Nothobranchius furzeri: one gene and its partners. The protein of the gene in region 3 interacts with the protein of the main gene of each other region in a pairwise test. Links are inferred from orthologs where the notes say so. Each region holds a gene or a part of one and is shown on either strand. Other genes may lie near its edges. The genes, in order: syt6a, pitx1, segment polarity protein dishevelled homolog DVL-3 and bromo adjacent homology domain-containing 1 protein.

Region 1 (5,070 bases), on a different chromosome or scaffold from region 3:
GGGCTGTGTGTACCTAATAAAGGTTAGTTTAATTTTAATGAAGCACACCTCTCTGTTGTTTAGGGTTGTACAGAAAGCACTCATGCATTGTCACTCTGTATTAAATCCTGTTCTAATAGACTCGATTTCTCTGTGTGTGTCCTCTCTCATCCTTGTCGTCACCATCTGTTTGTCCATATTGTGTGATCCTGTTTCTGGTCCCTGCGGCTCACCACCAGACGTTACTTTTGGCCTGGTTCTGGGTCTGTTTCTTGTTTGTGGCCTGGCTCTGCTGGGCCTCCTTACGCTAGTGTCCTGGAAGCTGTGCCGGGTGCCTCGGCAGACAAAGGCCCACTTCCCCAGTCCACCTCTCAGCCCGGCCGGTAACCCACGACGCGGCTCGCTCCAGCAGCCTCCCCCGCTGCCCAGTCCCCAACAACCGGCGGTCACCATGGCAACAGAAAAGGTGAAGGACCCCATAGGCTCGCAGGCTTTCCTGGAGGCAGCAGTGAAGATAAGCCATACCTCTCCCGACATCCCCACGGACGTGCAGCTCTCCATGAGGGAGCACTTCTTGCGCCGCACGCAGCGCATGCAGAGACAAACCACTGAGCCAGCCTCGTCCACACGGTTAGTCTCTGTCACACACACACACACACACACACACACACACACACACACACACACACACACACACACACACACACACACACACACACACACACACACACACACACACCTATGCACAAACCTGACAAAATAGATAGCAAAATGAGTTTTGTGGCGTATGAAGTTGCGTAAATCCAACAGAAATAGAAATGTACATCTGAAACTGACTCTCTACTTGGATCATTCACTCTGCCAATAATTTCATTTTACATTACTGAAACCTGTTTTCAAGCAAAACCTCAATAAATAAACACCTCCCCGTTCACGAGCAGCTGCGCATAGATAAAACAAGAAGAACACCATAAAAACGTCTTTTAGAAGCTACAACCTGAACAACTGGAAGGTTTTGGTGAGTAAGACTAAACATCTGTCGACGTCTTTCCTGCATGACTTGAAGTATTTTATGCAGCAAAAATCACCCCAAATCCTCCTTTACAGATTTACAACAAAGAGCAAATAAAGGGCTTTTTTAAAGCTTCTTAATGTTTTCCATATTAGGTAACTTAGAGGTAAAACATGTAAGACATTTTAGGGATTTAACTTAAAATATTTCATTTATTTAAAAATATTACATTTAAAAGATGTCAGTGACCCTGTTAAAGCACAGGAGCCTCATTTATCGAGCTTGCTTACGCACAAAACGGGGTCGGAAAACTTCGTAAGCAACTTTCCACGCAAACGTCGGGATTTATGAAAGAAAACTTAGAGAAAAATGTGCACAACTTTAAGTTGACTAAGGACCTGGCTTACACACATGCTGGACATGGAGAGCACCTGCAGTGCTGCTGCTGAGAAGGATAAAATTATGAAATCCTGCAGCATTATCACTTGTAACGCTTCATTTTCACACAGAACAAGACCCCCCCCCCCACACACACGCGGGTGTTCACACACACACACACACACACACACACACACACACACACACACACACACACACACACACACACACACACACACATGCGCGCGCACACAGCCGGGCCACTTTTTTATATCAGCCACAGATCTCTCTTAAGAACTCAGCATTGACGGCTTCAGCAACGCTGTACCACTCTGTGGATTTTCTCTTATTTGTTTTGCAAAAGCACTTCCTTTCATTTCTCCACCTCACCCACAGGTACCTCAACTTCTGCTTCTGTGAAATAGCGCTTCCTTGATCTGCCTTGATCTGCGGTCGCCATCGTCATTGGTGGAGCGCTGCAACAAGCCGGCTTATGTATATGCATGAGATCCACAAGGGACTTTGCATTGACCATTTATGGTAGAAAGTGGGCGTGGTGAGGGGGGGATGTGACTAAAAAGCAGCTGAGAACCTTTCTAGATAGTCTCTGATTTATGAAGCTGAGATTACGTGCAGCTGTGCGTCCTCCATGTTTGATAGATCACAAACCTACTTGGCGTAAGTACTTTTTTTTTGCTGAGCTTAAGCACGGTTTTAGTAAGGATTCTACGCCATGTTTTATAAATGAGATGCAGTAGCTTACCATTACTGGCAGTGTGTGAATATGAGAATGCATGAAAGCATCTTTGAGTGTCCTAAAAAGCGCTATATAAGTTTGATGTATTGTTATTATTAACATTATTTAACCAATCAGCTTTCAGGTTCATCTCACACTGATATCAGAAGTTCTCCTCTGGTCAGATTAAAGCCATCACCACCAAGTTTTGCTAGCTAAACACATCCTCACTAATACTTTTAATTTCTTTTTATTTTATTCCCACACTGAGATGGATTTGGTCTCAGCTGCAGCTGCAGTATAGAGGAAAGATGTGAAGTAGTCTCAGCTGCTTTTCTTTTGTATTCATAACGGTACGCACTCTCAACAGTATGCTAATAGATGAATGAACAGCAAAGTATGAACTCTATGTTATGCAACTCCCTCTCACTCACCCGCTCTCGTACCTGCCCTCCTTCTCTCAACGTGCCCCACACACACCCTGCTATTGTATAACGATGAATAAATGTAAAAAAAATCTGTAAAAAAACATATTTCCTCAGTGTTTATTGGCACACAGCACAGTTAGTGAGACCCAGCTCCATGTGGTCTGAACAAGAGTCCTGCAAAGTGTTTGTTGCTTGGATAATTGTCACATCATAGCGGTTGGTAAGTTGGTATGTCGGCTCAAGGACCAAATGCAAAACCTGCCACTGATTCGCAGCTAACAAGTAGAGGATTGCTTCTTAAAGAAATCCTCATATTAGGATATTTCTCCAGCCAGTGACGCTTTAGTTAGTTTAGTTTATTTCAAACAAGAAAACATACATAATTAAAAAAAAAATACCACAAACAGAAAAAGTACATATCATCCCTTCTTCTGTGTTTGAAAAGGAGTAGGCTGAAGTGGAAACTTATATGTCCCTACCCCTTTATACAAGTAATTTTTACTTGTTTACTAAATCTAACACAAAACCTACATTAAAACAAACAAAATGGTACAAGTCACCAAAAACCACCAAACTATATGGAAAAAAAAACAAAAAAAGAAAAGAAAACATCTTTTTACAATTGATACAATTTACTTTTCCTTAGAATAAAGGAGACCCACATAAATCATCTATTTTCCACTATATACTTGTTCAGAATATGTTTTTTATAATTCATTTTAAACACATTTATATTTGTACTTACTTTGATTTCTTCTTCTAAATTATTCCATAATTGAACCCCTATTATTGTGATACGCATCTGTTTTAATGTTGTTCTAAACTTATGTATCTTTAAGTTTAGTGTCCCTCTCAGGTTATATCCTCCTTCTCTCTCTGTGAACAGTTTCTGTATTTTATCAGGCATTCATGTATTTCTTACTTTATACATTATTTGTGCTGTTTTGTATTTAACCAAGTCCTGGAACTTCATTGTCCATGTTTTAATAAAAAGTTCATTTGTGTGATCCAAATATCCTGCATTTGTTATTAATCTGATAGCCTTTTTCTGCATTGTCGTTATTGTTTGTAAATGACTTTTGTACGTGTTTCCCCAGACCTCTACACAATAGCTCAAATATGGCAGTAGCATCGTATTGTACAACATATAAAGTGCTTTCTGATTAAATATATACTTAGCTTTCCCCAATATAGCAATGCCCCGTGCAAGCTTCCCCCTAACATATTTGATGTGTGGCTTCCAACAGATTCTGCTGTCTATGACCACCCCAAGAAATTTTATTTCATGTACTCTCTCAATTTTTACATTATTAATTACTATATCTAATTCATTGTATAATTCATTCATTGACGATAATAAAACAAAAAATCCGTTGTCTTTGTTCAACGTAAGTGAGTCTGGACTCCTTAATTACAAAATTGACACTGTTTTTTTGTCTTTGCAGGCACAACTCTTTCAAAAGGCACCTGCCCAGGCAGATGCAGGTGGGCAGCTTAGATCTGGGAAATGATTATGTAGCAGACAAGGATGAAAAGCCAACAAGCATCGGCCGCATCCAGCCAGAGCTCTACCAGCTGAAGGCCCCAGAATCAGAGGATTCCTCCAAGAACAGCAGCGGCAAAAACTGTGGCAGGATAAACTTTTCACTCAAGTATGACTACGAGAACGAAGCCCTGCTTGTCAATATCATCAGGGCCGTCGATCTGCCTGCCAAGGACTTATGTGGTACTTCTGACCCTTATGTGAAGATCTATCTGCTGCCCGATCGCAAGAAGTTCCAGACTCGAGTCCACCGGAAGACGCTCAACCCCACGTTCATTGAGAGCTTCCAGTTTTCCGTGCCTTACGAAGAGCTGGCAGTCAGGAAGCTCCACATGAGTGTCTTTGACTTTGACAGGTTTTCTCGGCATGACATGATCGGAGAGGTGGTGTTGGAGAATTTGTTTGAGACGTCGGACCTGTCGCGAGAGACAAACATCTGGAGAGACATCGAGTATGCCACCAGTGTAAGAATCAGTCTGATTTTACTTTTTCCCCTAACAGATTCATTCTCTGATCACTAGCTGAAAAATAACACCTTAGTTCTATTATCTGAAATTCTATGAAGCCTTAAGCCCTAGGGTCCCCCAGGTGGGGGGCCCTGTGACGTTAGTTCCTTAACAGGCCCAAAACAACCCTCACACTACAGAAGAAATAGTTATAATTCCCATCAAATCAACCAGCAAACCCAGCGCTACAAGGCCATCTAAACTGTTTAGCGCCAAATTACGACAAGAGTCATCTCAAGGCACTTTACATAGTAAACATTCCAATACATGTCAGTTCATTAAGCCAATCAGAAAAAAATTTCCTATATAAGGAACCCAGCAAATTGCATCAAATCACTGACTGGTGTCAGTTCCTAAATGAGAATTAAACCAGGGAGCCAACTTCCTGTGCTTAATTGTCTTCTTTTTTAAAGGGGCAACATCATCTAATGCCATACATAAAGAAGAAGTAACATTATGAACTAAATTATCAATTTGTGAGGGGCTAG
Region 2 (5,519 bases), on a different chromosome or scaffold from region 3:
TCCGCTTTCTTTTTTCTTTTTCTTTTTTTTCTTTTCTTTAGCAGAGCTCGATCATCGGGAGCGCGCAGTGCGGAGCCTTTTTGGAGGAGAAACGGGCCATTTATTCACGCTGGAAAACCATCCCCAACGCAACTGAATGCGCTTCTTTACACACACACACACACACACACACACACACACACACACACACACACACACACACACACACACACACACACACACACACACACACACACACACACACACACACACACACACACACACACGGTGAATGTATATCTCTATTATGTGCTGAGCTGAATAAACATTTGACCACAGGCCTGCCCACTGACTGATCTCTGGATGAAACGTGCCTTTGACTGATGTGTGCCACAGACTGGATCTTTTCTACCGAACACACCAGAGAATGTGCTGCAGCTGTTTGTCCAAACAACCTCATTTCTATTCAGACATTTTACGCATTTGCACTTTACGCACTCAAACCCAATGAGGTGCTGCAATTATCCTTGTTTACATCTAAATGAGGCTATGATGGTTGCCGATGATGATGGCGTTTCGTTGGCACAATCTGCGCCGAGATTGTGCCAGTGCTCCAAGCCAAAAGAGCAGAGCAGGTGTCTTTTATCCAAATTAACACTAAGAGAAGTGGAGAAAGAGTCAGTGGAGTTGTGAAGGTCAGCGTGCACATAAGCAAATGTTTTGATAATATACTGCAAAAACTGTTTTTACAGTCGTTCTTGTAGCGCAGCTATACGCACGACAACTCGAGGGTCGAATCCTAAAGCGCACTGTTGTTCTGTTGGCTCAGATAAAAATGAGACTCTCTTTCGAAGACACGTGAGGAATACACTCCAGCCAATATTATCCAATGAATTTAACTGACTTTGGTTTGAAACGTTGGAATAAAATGCTGCTAAAATTAAAAATTAAAACATAAAAAATATACACGTTATCAAACCACTGCTAATAATGATCGCATGCACACTTAAGTATGTCGTTCTCATCTGCACAGAACGGATAGGTGCAAACATAAATGAGGTTAGTTTGGTGCGTCTGCTGCCTAACCGGGGCGCTGGTTCGGGTAAAATCAAGTCTGGACCACGCAGCGTCTCCGGCGCCACTGCCGACCATTGTATGACTGACTTCTGACATAAGATCCCCGTCCAACCAGGAAACACCCCCGAAGGCCCTATACCAAACAATTGTGAAAGCTCTCAGCAATCGCTTGGCTTTTGCCATCTGCTCTTCATCCTCTCCACACGCTGCGTGTTTTAGTGACAGGAACGCATCCGATCTGAGGGCCTGTGCTGGCCTGCCGGAGGAATACTCTCAAATAAGATCTGGTGATTTTGGAATTTAGGGTGAATTTCACTTCAGTGGTTTGGGAAGTTTAAAACTAAAGATGGTTTATTTATTTATTTAAAATAGTTTGGTATATAAAGATGTGTCAGCACGCAAACAAACACCACTGCGTCTGTGCGTAAATGTTTTTTCATCTCTGATGTATTTTGCACAGGAACTCAAAAGCTTCATCTGGACGCAGCATTGTCACGTGACCAATAATAGATGTAATTATCACCGACTGTTTGCATGCGAAATGATTATAAGGTTCAGCCTATGTTGGTCCCTTAGAAAAATGCCCCATTAAGCACTGGGCGAATTAAAAAATATATTGGATGCAGTCCAGTCTCATCCAACATCCTACTCATCAAACGCGATAGGTTGCACAAACGGAGATGTGTCAGTAATTCATATATGTTAATTATCATAAATCACGCAAGATTTTGCGGCATTTCGTGAAATCAGCGTTATTTTCATCATCTGGCCTCTCATTTAAAGAAGAATCCAAAATTGCATCAACATACATGCACGTTAGAATTTTGGAAGTCTACATTTATGCAGATCAGTTGAAATCTGCGTAAACCCAACGACCCCTCTGGTCCGCTTTGGAGTATTATGGGATTTACTGCGCTTGGGAGTCTCGCCACCTCAGCTCCAGAGATCTCTGAGCTTCATACGGCTGTGTGATAAATGGTGTTAATCTAAATACCCAGCCTCCATCCCTGCCCGCGTCCTTCTCCGTTCTGGAGGGCACTTGCGTGTGATGGATGAGTTAAAAAGTCTTTCCATCCGGCAGGACAGGTTAAAGGCCAGCGACAGCGCAAACACTCATGTTTTTCTCTCTAAGAAGTCAAAATAAACCCTGCGAACGCTGTTCATCACATAAAATTACAGTATTTGTGTTTTATTTCTCCGCACAGCAAAGGGGAGCGCGCAAGAGAAAACAAAGCAGCAAAAAACTGGAAGGCAGCGGAGATGTAACTGGAGACGGTGCGTAACTGGAGAAGGACAGAGCAGATTATTGCCTTGGTGATGTTTTCCCTGCTCGGGTCTAAAAGGCCTGTTTGACCCGCAGTGTGACTACCAGCCTAAACCCACAAAGAGACAGTCTGAGTAATTAAAACAGCTGCTAATTGGCAAAACTCATTCTCAATTTAGAAAAACATGTCAGCATTCCCAATGAACCCAATAAATTACTTATAAATCATTTAAACGTTCTCTAAAGTTTCTACAATCATGATTAAAATAAAATAACTGTACTTCTCTTGGTGACAACTCCAATTTTACGCACTGTTGCATTTTTTAGAATTTTTTTTCTAAACTGACAAAATATACCAGCGTATTACACAATTTAAATGTCCAAACCCTCTTAAATTGCGCACGAGTTTACATTTGTTAATGTTTTTTTAATCTTTAATTGTTTTTGTTAAACTCTGAAATCTTAAAGTTTGGTTAGTTGAAAATATTTTAATTAAAGACAATGTTTACATAAAACAGTTCCTAGATAATTCCAAAAGAGGGTATTTTTTCTCGTTTTTTAAAAAACCGGACAGAAAATTAATTTGCATCTCCCAGTTCCACATTTCATAGCTCCCTGAGCAAAGCAGCTTTTTGAGCGTAAAAGATGGAGAAATCTCTAATTCACAAACATTTTAAACCTGCAGCATCCTCTTACCTGGGTCCCCACAGGAAATCACATTCTTGGACAAATTCAGTTCCATTCCAGTTACCTGAAAAACAAAACCAGAGGACAAAACATATTAACTTTATTTATTAATGTCATTTTAAGTTGAACCAACACGCTGGTGTATCACTGCTGATTTCTTGTCATTTTTCCAATCCTCAAACATGGTTTTACAAGGAAATGTGAAAGAACAACTTTGAAGGAACCAAGCGAAAATCAGCCAATATTTACAGAGCAGCAGCTCCACCTGACAGCCTGCCACTGAATGCTTTTCTATCATTCATTCATTCATTCATTCATTCATTCATTCATTCATCTCGTGTTTTGGGCCCAACAGTAACATCACTGACCTAGAGACAGTTTACTTTCGCCCCTAACACCACACACACATATGCACGCACGCACGCGCATCCACAGATGCAGGAATATATTTGCTGTTCGTGTCCTCTCTATCTCCCATCACCAGCGCTGATCTGAACGCAGATGCGTGTTCTCTATAAAACGGTTATTTTAGCTTAATCCTCTCCTGCCTCTTTGACCTCCAACCAGATAGGAACACGCGCAGTTTACACTGATCACAGCGGCATGAATTGTCGCATTTATAGCTCTTCGTGAGCCCGGTGCGTAAAAACGCTACTAATTGAGCTGTTAAGTCTCCAATCGCCTAAAATCACACGCACGTGTTTTTCTCACCAGTTGTTTCCCAGCAGACGAAAGAGTAAAAGTAAAAACGCCTCACGGTGTCCCATGCAGGTGTCCCAGTAAATCCAGTTTAGCGTTGCCTGTGCGTAAACGCTGCGTCCTCGGTGATCGGCGCTTTGGTTAGCTCCGAGTTGTTGCCTTGGTTTTCTTCTTTGGCTCTCTACTGCACAGCCCCAACGTGACGTCACACATCCCTCCCTAGTCTCCCACCCCGTCACCTTCTTCATCCTCCCGCATCTTCGGTATGACCGAGTCTTCACAGCTTTATTCGGCATCGATTTCCCACTTTTTTTCATTTTCGTCATTTATTTCATTAGGATTTAAAACAGTTTTTCGATTGCAAAATGTTTGAAACCTGATTTCTGTATTTTAGCGGTTGCTTCAATTTAAATATTATAATTATTGTTATTACTGATAAATGTAGCAGATGAAAACACAACTTGAAGAAGGTAAAAAGATCTAATCGAAAATAATAATAATAATAATAATAATAATAATAATAAGTGAAGGTCGAATATCTGAAAAAAGTATTTTTTAACTTTATTTTAAAATTACTTTTTATTGTTTTCATCTCCAAACAGGAAATAATCATTCCTAATCCATATGGATTCTGACTCATATGTTTAGCTACATTTATTTATTTAAATCACATATATTACATTTTATTTTATTTTAGCTACTGAATCTTTAACGTTGCTCAGATTACACCCGTTAACAGTTTTTGAGTTACTTAAACAGACAAAAATATTTTATTTAACTTTTAATCTCCGATCAAAAGTTTATTTTAATACAAAATAAGTGTATAATGTAGGTTAAAGCGACGCTCCGAAAAATCATAGAAATCAATTAAAGCTGGTAATTAGGTTAATGTTTTCCGTGTGTGTTTGTATGTGTGAGTGTGTGTGTGTATGTGTATGTGTGAGTGTGTGTATCCGAGCAGAGGATGTAGGTCAGGTAGGCGGCCGAGCAGATTAAAGTATTCAAAACCCTTTATGAGTTTTCATTATTAGAATAAAAACATTGATTTACTTAGAAGCGTTTGAATCCGTTTTGGATCAATAATTCCAGCTTTAGCTTCACGTGCGCAGCTTCCTCTGACCAGAAACTTTACAGAAAGTGTGAAATTTGTTTGATCCCGTTTTCTTTTTTAATGCAGCCAAGAGCTGCGCACAAAGCAAAGCTCCGCTCTGAGACAGAAGGATTAAAGAGGAGTTGCGGGCCTCCATCAGACCTCCTTCAGGCTCCTTCTCGGCTCCTCTCACGTTAGCAGCTGTTCTGCCCAGTTTCTAACACCAGCTCCCCATTAACGAGACAATTTGGACACTTTAAGATTTAAGACCATCCAAGTAAATTTTTTTCAAATGTTCTTTTTTTTGGGGGGGACTAAAGTTATAAAGTGAACTTTACTAAGTGAACACTATTAGTTTGAAAACTTACAAGATTGATGAGCTAACAGCTAGTCCAATTTTTTCCCATTACACCCCTCCTGCCTGGAACTTTGTTTTCGCGCCTCTCTAAAACAAGATTTTTGCTTATTTTACAAGCAAGAATATTAGTAAATGTAAACCTCTGGTGCATCCAGAGGTCAGCAGTCTGCAGCAATCCAAAAGGCCTTTTTCACATGAATAAAAAGCCAAAACCAGAACAGGACCTTTTGAAATGTTAAAGTTCATTATTCTTAAGAAATGTCTACAGAAGATGATTAAAGCCACTGGAAAAAAGTATTTTTCCTGTCTGACTTCTAAAAGAAAAACCTTAGAATTATGAGGAAAAAGTTTCAATTCTGATTTTT
Region 3 (5,070 bases):
TTAGACAACTTTAGTGAGGATAAAATAAACAGATAATAATCTAACTGTTCGTTGGGTAAACATAGCTTTCCTGAGTTTACACAATAGTCTGAAGCCAGACTCACCACTGTGCTGGCTTCCTGTGCTGCCAGCGCCCGGACCACCAAACGGCTGTGGCAGGTCATAGGGATGTGGAATAGGAAACTGATACGGCAGTGCCATTGGCCAAGGAGCTGCTCCAGGATGGGGCAGCGGGGGGACAGTGTCCTGGTCTGAGGCACCCCCACTTGAGCCGTCATGGTCATGTAGGGACAGGTGGGTCATATCTGAAGAAAACAAACACATAAATTAGATTATGACCTTTAGATTGACCACATTTAGTTCGTACATAAAAAAAACTACATTTCAAAGTCCACTCACTGCCACAGAGGTCTCCAAACACATAGTAGCACTGTTCAGAAAAGGTGATCTTGTTGACTGTGTGTCGAATGTAGCCGACTTTCAGCAGGTTGCTGGCGTATTTTCGTGCTTCCCGGCGATCTGAGAACCCTTCCACGTGGTGGAAGAGCCAGTCCACCACATCAGAACCTGAGGAGGCAGAATAGAGAATTTATTTTCTGACATTTGACTGCTAGCTGTTACATGACGTTATAAAACCTGTGATGAACAACAAACACTGAAAAAATATGTCAGAACATCGCACGTCCCACCAGCCGCCCAAACGCTTCAACAGAGCAGCGACTCTCGTTGCATGTAATGTAATTACTACTACTGCAAAAGCATGCGTCTTCTGTGCTTTGGAATGAGCTTCTCTCACTGTTAAGCAGTCTCCATCACTCACCGTCTTTTAAAACCAACACTTGGATTTAACACTGGTTTGTATTTTAGAATAATAATTCACGTGTTGTGACAGAGTCCAAAAGGGTGGTCTTATAAACATACCAATAAAGGCATTAGCGATGGTTATCTTCAGCCACATCCTGTCCCGCACCTCCAGGCCCGACTCAGGACAGGCCATGGCCTTAGCAACCGTTGCCATGTCGCTGTGGATGGAGAGGTGGAAGTCATCGAACCCTAGAAGACAGACGAGGACACACAAATATGTAGTTTTAAAGGGATACTTTGCAACTTTTTCATAATTTTAAATCATTTTCTTGAGCCAGTATGACCCTTTACAAAGTCAACAGCAATTTGAACTGATCCAACAACACAGATGCTTTGTATAAGAAGGGCCAAGTTCATGGTTTTTTAGTGGTCAAAGGTTACAATAATAGCTTACAGCTTATCTGTATGTGCATGTACATTTGTTATTATTTTTCTTCAAATTATTCTCTTAAGTGTTGGTGTTGCTGTAGCAAGAGAATGTCCCCAGTGTGGGATCAATAAAGTCTATTTTATTCTATTAGTGAAAGGCCTCTATCACCACCTGTGGCCAGAATATTCCACTTGCAACTTCAGACTGGCGGGCTGCTCTGTTGGGACTTAGTCTGGTTCTAGAATGTTTCCTGCATGTTTTGCTCAACTCAACTTTATTTATAAATCGCGCCTTACAGGCAAAAACATGCCACCAAGGTGCTACACAGACCAAGTAAAAACATAAAACATTAGGTCCAGAAAATAAAAACATTGGATCACACGATACAGACAAACAACACAGTGAATGTGTGGGATCACTTTAAGTCAAACAATAAAAACTAGTTAGAAAGATTAAAAGACAGATCATAAAAGTAGGTTTTTAGCCTTGCCTTAAAAACCGTCACAGAGGTGGAGGCCCTTATGCTAAGAGGAAGCTCGTTCCAACGCTTAGGACCTGCCACAGCAAAGGCCCTATCACCACGCGTCTTTAGGCGTGACCTTGGGACCGAGAGGAGCATGAGGTTCTCCGAGCAGAGTGACCGTGCAAGGGTGTACGGTTGAAGCAGTGACACCAAGTAAGGAGGGGCCTAACCATCTGACGTTTTAAAAACCAGCAAAAGTAACTTAAAACGAATCCTTACATCAACGGGCAGCCAATGAAGCGCAGCCAGGACAGGAGTAATGGGGTCATACTTGCGCCTGCCCTCAAAACCTGGCAGCAGCATTCTGCACTATTTGCAACCTGGCTATTGAGCCCTTGTTACAGTAGTCCAATCACACCGTAATAAAAGCATGGGCTACCGTCTCAAGATCATGTCGTGACAAGAAAGGTTTGATCTTTGTCAGCCGACGAAGGTGGAAAAAGGAGGAGGAGAGCACTCCATTGATGTGGGTATCAAAACTAAGGGCGCTATCTAGTTTAACACCAAGATTAGTCACTGATGCACTCAGCTGGCCATTAAATGACCCACAGTCAGTTAGGGAAGAGTCACAATGTCTGCTTGGAGCAAACAATATAGCCTCTGTTTTCTGATCATTTAAGCTCAGAAAATTTCCACTCATCCAGGCCTTGATCTCCCTCAAACAGTTCGTAAGAATAGAAATAGAGAGACCACTTGACGTGTTCAGAGGCAGGTACAGCTGACCATCGTCAGCATAAAGGTGGAAGTGAACTCCAAGCTCACTACAGATGTCACCTAAGTGCAGAATGTAAGTAGAAAACAACAAAGGTCCCAATATCAAGCCCTGTGGTATACCCCCCAGGGTAAATCAGAGTACTTTGAGGAATAACTTCCCATCCTTACACACATCTTTCTATTTGTCAGGTATGATCTGAACCACTCCAGGGCTAACCCAGAAATCCCGACATAATGGAGACGGTGAAGCAGCGCTTCATGGTCCATCGTGTCAAAGGCTGCCGTGAGGTCCAACAGAAGCAACAACACAGAATTACCGCTATCAGTAGCTAGATAAATGTCATTGAGCACTCTATCCAGTGCAGTCTCAGTGCTGTGTAGAGCTCTGAAGCCAGACTGGAAAGCCTCAAAAATGCCATTCTCATCCATAAAAACCAAGAGCTGGTGGTAAACACATTTCTCTAGTGCCTTACTTAAGAATGGAAGTTTAGAAATGGGCCTGTAGTTTGCAGACAGTGAAGCATCCAGTCCAGGCTTTTTGAGCAAAGGTTGAACAACCGCCTTTTTAAAATCACCAGAGACTACGCCAGAGCTTAGGCTCATGTTAATTATGTGCAATATTAGAGGGGTGACTACTGGAAAGACTTCTTTAACCCTCCCACTGTCCTACTGGGTGTGACCCCATGAGGAAAGCTGACCATTGAGCAGGGTTGATGGCTCATCCCTTGGGTCCATGTGGCAGGGGTGAGGAATGAGCACCGCCTCACCCCTGCCACGTGGGCCTCAAGGGATAAACCATCAATCCTGCTCAATGGTCAACTTTCCTCGCGGGGTCACCCATAAAGACGGTGGGAGGGTTAAAGAGGCGCGCAGGCATCACGTCACCTGGCAAGCCGCTCGGCTTAGCCTCCCCAACAATCTTGATCAAGTCATCTAAACTAATTGGTTGAAATGCTATCAAACCTCTGATAGTATCGCAGAAGGGCTTTCCCCATAAAAAAGTCAAAGAACTCATCACACATTTTAGCTGAAGCCTGCACCAAATGGTGATCAATCACTTTCAAAACTGAGTTAATTGCGGTATAAAGTACTCTAGGGTTATTTGAGTTTAAGGAAGTGAGAATGGAACAGATCTAACTGCCTCCTGGTAAGATTTGCAACTGTCACGTAGAGCAATTAGGGAAACATGCAGATTGTCCTTCTTCCACTGATCATGAGCACAGCTGATTTGTTTAATTTAGTGATGAATCACTCCTGTAGACACTAACAGGCTAGGGAGATGTTTCAGCTTTTATTAGATTAAGGTGTAAAAAAGACTCTAACCCAACACACAGCGAGGAGATAGGTTTTGCTTTTGGTTCTACAATTGGACACTAGAGGGTGCTAAAAGCAAGCCAAAACTGCCTTGTTCTCCTTTAGAGGTCTGAGATTTTACTTACTAAAAAATGCGGATGTGTTCGGAATTTGCCTAAAAAGATATCTGACTTATTTTGTTTCACCAAAAATGTGAGACATAGCTTAGCCTTGTCCATGAAAAGCACTTGGACCGGACCAAAACTTTGCTCGTTTTCACAGAAAATGCAGCAGCTTTAAAACAGCCAGACCATGGAATATTAAACCTCCCCACAACGGTGATTCCCAGCTGGGAGTCCACACCCCTGTAACAAAGTGCCAAAAGCAACAGGAAGCATGCCAGGGTTTCACTGCACCGGGGTTGTGAAAATACATTTTGCACATGCACAAATAATAAATCTATTACACGAATCCAAATGCTGCACAGAGATCAGTAATAATGCATTTTCTGTAGTTTTACACACAAGTGGCTGCACGGTTTACACTGACTGAAACAAAACCCAACTGTGCATCTTATGACGGCTGAAGCTAGTTTTACTTTTCTGCAGCCGCATGTGAAATATAACCCACAAAAATGAACCAGATTCATGACAAAACAACGAGAATGATTTTTACAGGTCTTATCAAGTCAAGTGTGATTCTATTTAACCCAAATATTCAGGAACATAGAAATGAAGGAAGGAAACATTTTTCTCGACAAATGAAGCTAAAACATCCCAGTCGTTTCCAAAGATTACAGAGAAGATTAAACTTGTGAGTTATGGCTCCGCTTAGACCGGGAGTTATCCAGCAGATGGAAGCCGTGAGGCTCCCAAATGGAACAGAGACGAGTCACAGGAATGTGGTTTAAGGGCGAGGCCACACTAACAAACATGTCTGAGGAGAATCGGAGTATTAATAAAAGACTGATCGTGAAAACGTTTAGTTGGTGCACCTTTCACAGCAGTGCAAACAGTCAGATAAACAAACAAATGACAACAAATAAGAAAATGTGCTTAAACTACCGAGGAGCGAGCGATGACAGTTGATTTGAATAACAGTGCCTCAATAACAAGCCACAACAGGCAGCTGCAGGGGGACGACATGACTCACGTTCAGTCTCGGGGATAGAGCTGCTAATGGAGGAGCTGGTGGAGGTGACGGTGCTCATGGAAGGGCTCATCCCGTAAGCAGGGTAAACCCCGGTCATAGCGGCGGTGTGGGACACCCATGCAGCCGGGTCGATGGGCCGGATGGGCTCACCTGG
Region 4 (5,070 bases), on a different chromosome or scaffold from region 3:
TTTTTTTGCTGAGCAAAGCTGCCCTCCCTGTGGAGGGTAACTCAGAAATACTGTTTCCCCCTCCACTTGAACCAATCCTCATTTAACCCTCTTATCTCTATTAAGGTAGTGCGACTCAGGGTTGCGAATGACCACAGTCACCAATTCTTGTCATGTGTCTTGCCCATGTATGTCTGATCTCTGAATTGTGTGTACTGAAACTCTAATTTCCCTCTGGGATTAATAAAGTATCTTTGATTTGATTTGATTTATTTAGGGATTTTAAAATCTAATGATCACATGCTTTTATTTAATTCAAACCAAAAGAAAAATCTAGTTATGTGTCCCTGGCCTTCCTGAGTTATCAGTCAACAACACCACTATAGTTCAGATTGGAGAAGTGCATTCTGAAAAGATTGTACCTAACCCTATCGACTAACAAGAAACTATGTAAATGCACTTGAGGTTGACATGTTTTTCAACAAACACTCACAAGAACAGCCTACCCCAAGCGAACTGTTGTAAGACCACTTTTGTTTCGATCAAAGCTTGGATTCTATCTGGCAGATCAAAATAAAGTTGACCTTCTCACTATACGGCCTAAAAATAAAGTCTCCGATTTTATTTTTTTAATTCAATTTACGATTTTTTCCGATTCTCTCTCCCCCTCAATTATTAAGAACAGCAATAAGTACTAATGGAAGGCACGTTAAAGCCAATTTAGTTTTTTATTTAATCACAAGCAAGACAAATGTAACCCTCATTTCTGAGATGAATAATGGATAAATGATCACCCTATTGGAATAAAAGTGCCACGCTTCACGCCCGTCGCAGCAAACCCAAACCAGTTCCAAACAACGGATGATTTAATTCCGTTTTTAGGAACAAACTTCCCACTCTCACCGGTGGCCATGGAGTTGCTTGCTGTTGCTGTTTCGTGTGCGTGCTGTGACGTTGTTGTCGCGGTTATGTGAAACTAACGCTACAGAAGCTCTGGGGGGACAATAAAGGCGCTATTACATAACAATTTGATAAAAGTTTTTTTAAAATCTTCCGCAACAAAAATTTGATTTAATTCATTAAATCGATTTATCGCCCATGCCTACTCCTTACGTTATAATGAGTGTTCTTCCCAATACTGATGACATTTAGGCGTGTTTACGTTTTCCACTCACCTTTCTTGATACTGTGCGTACATCCAGTGCATCCAGTACTAAAGGAACAGCCTCTGCTTGTGACTGGAGGCATTGCTCTGTAGGTGTAGCCAGTGACGCCGCAGGCATCTCCATAACAGGGAGAAGACACAGAGTTGCAGTAGGAAGGGTGGGTTAACCCTGAGGCATGAGACATTTGTTGTCCCAGCAGCTTGGAGCTGCTAATATGACTGGAGCACAAACTGGATGAGGTGAAGTTGAGAGGTTGTGTGGCTAAGGTTGCTGAATTAGTTCCAGTGTGTGTTGGGTGGGCAATGTGGACATAGTAGCTGGAGAAGCAGTGGTCCGCTGTGCACAGGCATGGGTGAGGGCTGAGGGTGAGGGCCGTGTGTGGGTGGGAATGCGTGAGTGATGGTGAGGTTACTAGGCACTCTGGCTTCACAGGAGGCATTGCTGACTTGAGCGATTGGTCTTCGGAGTCTCCGTAGGTCTGCTGACTGAGGAAGTATGCCAAGCGGTGGCAGTATTCCACAGAGCCTTCATTTGGACAGCAGTAGTATGGACTCAGCTCGGCCTCCAGCTGTTCTTCCTTCACTTGTTTCAGCGGGTATGCTAGCATGCTACGAGATTGATAGCCTTGATTGGTCAGGTAACGGTTGCAGCTGGCCGTCTCCCACTCCACTTTGGGCTCAAAGTCTACTTTCTCTTTGCAGGTTGTGCAGCAACCAGGCCCTGGGGGGGCTTTGGTGCCCTTTCTTTTCTGTACACGACTGTTGTGTTGGGATTTGACCTTGTGGTGCTGCTTTGGGGTTGAGATTGCAGCAGGGACTACATATTCTGAAGTGTTAGCTGCTGTAGGTGTAGGCTTTGCTCTCTGTTTACTGGTAGCAGAGGAGCTGGTTAACTTCAGCAGGGCTGCAGCATTAAGTCCAGCCAACCGTCTCGGTGTAGGTGCATTCAAACATTCCTGGCTCATCCAAATACTTTCATCACTTCTCTTCTTGCTTAGCTTGGAACTTTGGAACAAATCAGGCTTTTCAGACGTGGAACATTTACGACCGTTTTCTTGTGAAGTTTTCAGACCCCCTTGCACATTACCTCTGGCTGGATCCAAGGGAACCCCTCCCTCCACATAATCCTCTTGTCTCCTGGCCTGTTTGGCTGCTGGCTGAGCATCAGCTCTTTCAAGTAGTAAACTGTTTACCGCTTCGGCATTGAGGGAAGCTAGTCTACGCTTGCGTGGTAGCAAGTCTTTGAGTTCAACACACTTTGCAAAATCTAGGCCTTTTGTCTTAACTTTGCCTTTTGGTAACACCTTTGCCTGTTCTCTTTTCTTACATTTCCCTTTTCTGGATATGTGACCATCTTTTTTCCCCCTTTCTTTAGACCTTTCCTGTTTGCGTAAGCTTTCTTCAAAACGAGTGAGGAGAACATTGCAGCTCCGCCCTTCCTCATCCGCATTCCCAGCCCTCCCTCGCAAAGGGTACAACTTTCGGTTGCGCTTCTTCTCTTGTTTCCGGTGCAGCTTTCTCTCCTGGTCTGAACGTTTTATTCCCTCTTTCTTTTTGTTCCTCCTCTTCGCCATGCCTTTCTCTTCTTTCAGGATCCCACTTATTTTCTTTGTCCTGCCAAATCGTAACGCACCCTCAGGCCAGTCGCCTCCCATTGCGCCAGCATGAGGCCAAGGACGACTACAATCCCACCACTCAGAACTACTGTGATTCTGGCTGAGGGAAGCGGTCTGCCTCGCATGAGTCATCACATGCTTCTCAATAGAACCTAGAGAAAAGAAGCACAAAGTTACAGAAGAGATCAAAACAGGCCAAACAGGGAAAAACAACTAAATCTACACACTAAAGAGTTGAAAAAATAAAAAACAGTGTTGATATACAAACTCCTTGTGCTACGGAAGCCTTATGTTTTGTCAAATGACCAAGTCCAAATGTAATCTATCCAACAAACAGAAGGGTAACTGCTTACTAGCATGTATTAGCAACATAGCCATAATACGGAAAGTTCCCAAGTATATCCCATAAATAGGAAGTAGCTTGTACAAATGTATAAACAAAAAAGAACCATCTATAACAAATCGTTACCAGAATGATGTCACACCATAGACATTTACCAGAAATGACACCTCAGTGTTTCCCCTACACAGGCTCAAGCGTGGCACTGCGCCACAGCTAAAATTCCAGTGCCACGCCTACGAGATCCCCCCACAGGAGACGCATGGAAGCGAAACATTCCACTCGTGACCCCCCTCCCCCACCCCGCTCTCATAGACGATGCATAGCAGCGAACCTGTCGCGCTTTTCAGATGTGGAGCAATTACGACCGTCTTCTCGTGAAGCTTTCAGAACCCCTTGGACGGTACCCCTGACTTGATCCAATATGGCCTGGCCGCGGCCCCGCAAGCCCCTCACGGAGGATGCTCTGCAACCCCCTACACCATGGATGGAAAAACTTCTAGGGGAAACACTGCACCTACTAGCCTAGTTAGGGTATCATCTAGCATAATTGGCTCCCACGGAACAAGTCATAAAATGTAAAGAGGAATTCCAGATCTTCTGAAGTAGATTTCTGTGGAAAGTTAAAGACATCTCTTTGAATGACCTTGGTTCGAAACAACAGACCCCTCCTTCACAAAACACTTCAAATCATACTTGAAATGCCTTCCAGCCATCATGGTGAAAAGCAAGCAATGAGCTTTAAAGGTCCATTTACAAAGTAAATACTGCTATCTGAATACATCTGTGATTTTAAAAATGTCACAGTAATCCACGTGAGCCCTAATTAAATTAAAACACATGAATAAATAACTCTATAGCAAGTCTGGAGAGCAGCCTATACACCACAATACAATATAACCCTTAAAACGATAGGAACTGGTTTTTGTTGTTGTTTTAACGCACATATGCTTGCCCTGGACTCTTATTGTGAAAATACTTGAACAATGACATGTAAATGTGGGCTTGCCAAAAACCCTTAATGTAAAGGCCTTTTAAAGAGATACTTTGCAAATTTTTTAAATTTTTATCTTGAGTAAGTATGTGCTAAAACAACCCTTTCCAGGGTTAATAAAAGGCTACCCAGCCCTCTATCGCCCCCTGTGTCCAGAATATCCCAATTGCAACTTCAGACTGGTGAGCTGCTCTGCTGGAAGTAAAGGCAAACCACAAAATATCTGCCTTTTCCCTTGAAAGTATAGTTTTCCTTTCTAACATCTTTTATTGCCATTGCTTAAAGATAGACAAAGATCGGTCTTATTAAGTCATGAAACACACTGAAACTGAAAGCAAAACAGACGACTCATTTGTTGCATTGTCTGATAGAACGCATAAAGGTGTTTCTAGTAATGACTACACTCTTTGGCTGGATGGTTGTCTGATCAGACCTCACTCACTTTATCTTACGTTCATCTTCAGCTATAGAATCTGAAATGCCCGCCTGTTACAATGAGTTTACGTTTGTGTGTTTTGTTTTATGTCTTATTGAAGAACCTGAAGCAGTCATACCAAGAACCCGTGTTATCAGTTAGTGTGCACACAGAGGGTCAGTAACAGCTCGCGAAGAGCCGGTTGTTTAGTCTGAAATGTTTAGCCTGATAAGGGAATGCCAAGAAAAATTCTTCCTTAACCATTTATCTGAATGGAGATAAATAAACAAGCAAACCAACAAGTGGGCTAAATGGTACGTATTTAAACTTAAAGACGTCTTTGATCACTTTAACAGCTCTCCACGTTCCTTGTGCCAACATGCACCTTCCACAGAGAAGGAGAATTGTTGCGTCCACCTTTCAAATGGCTGCATGATATCATTACTAACACTCACAGTGGAGATATTTAGCAGCTAAACTCAATTAGCAGTAAGCAGCTCGAGTGTCAGCTGAAATGCTTACTAAGCGCACAGGAATTTCAGCATGAACATCTAAAGTCTG

What was found.
Region 1: the proteins of segment polarity protein dishevelled homolog DVL-3 (region 3) and syt6a interact in binary tests that used the Homo sapiens proteins (3 or more experiments, as listed by UniProt). The two-hybrid records come from large-scale screens. The link is inferred for Nothobranchius furzeri from reciprocal best matches to the Homo sapiens genes DVL3 and SYT6.
Region 2: the proteins of segment polarity protein dishevelled homolog DVL-3 (region 3) and pitx1 interact in binary tests that used the Homo sapiens proteins (3 or more experiments, as listed by UniProt). The two-hybrid records come from large-scale screens. The link is inferred for Nothobranchius furzeri from reciprocal best matches to the Homo sapiens genes DVL3 and PITX1.
Region 4: the proteins of segment polarity protein dishevelled homolog DVL-3 (region 3) and bromo adjacent homology domain-containing 1 protein interact in binary tests that used the Homo sapiens proteins (3 or more experiments, as listed by UniProt). The two-hybrid records come from large-scale screens. The link is inferred for Nothobranchius furzeri from reciprocal best matches to the Homo sapiens genes DVL3 and BAHD1.

The regions. Positions count from the first base shown.
Region 1 is NC_091755.1:39,409,302-39,414,371, reverse strand, and holds part of syt6a (synaptotagmin-6), read left to right. Parts: intron 1-218; coding exon 219-609; intron 610-3,978; coding exon 3,979-4,540; intron 4,541-5,070.
Region 2 is NC_091750.1:54,396,403-54,401,921, reverse strand, and holds the start of pitx1 (pituitary homeobox 1), read right to left. Parts: upstream 3,865-5,519; 5' UTR 3,719-3,864; intron 3,072-3,718; 5' UTR 3,063-3,071; coding exon 3,017-3,062; intron 24-3,016; exon of another isoform or gene 1-23. UniProt on the Homo sapiens protein: Sequence-specific transcription factor that binds gene promoters and activates their transcription. May play a role in the development of anterior structures, and in particular, the brain and facies and in specifying the identity or structure of hindlimb.
Region 3 is NC_091751.1:58,280,229-58,285,298, forward strand, and holds part of segment polarity protein dishevelled homolog DVL-3, read right to left. Parts: intron 5,067-5,070; coding exon 4,917-5,066; intron 1,054-4,916; coding exon 922-1,053; intron 568-921; coding exon 400-567; intron 306-399; coding exon 105-305; intron 1-104. UniProt on the Homo sapiens protein: Involved in the signal transduction pathway mediated by multiple Wnt genes.
Region 4 is NC_091742.1:23,422,176-23,427,245, reverse strand, and holds part of bromo adjacent homology domain-containing 1 protein, read right to left. Parts: intron 2,913-5,070; coding exon 1,155-2,912; intron 1-1,154.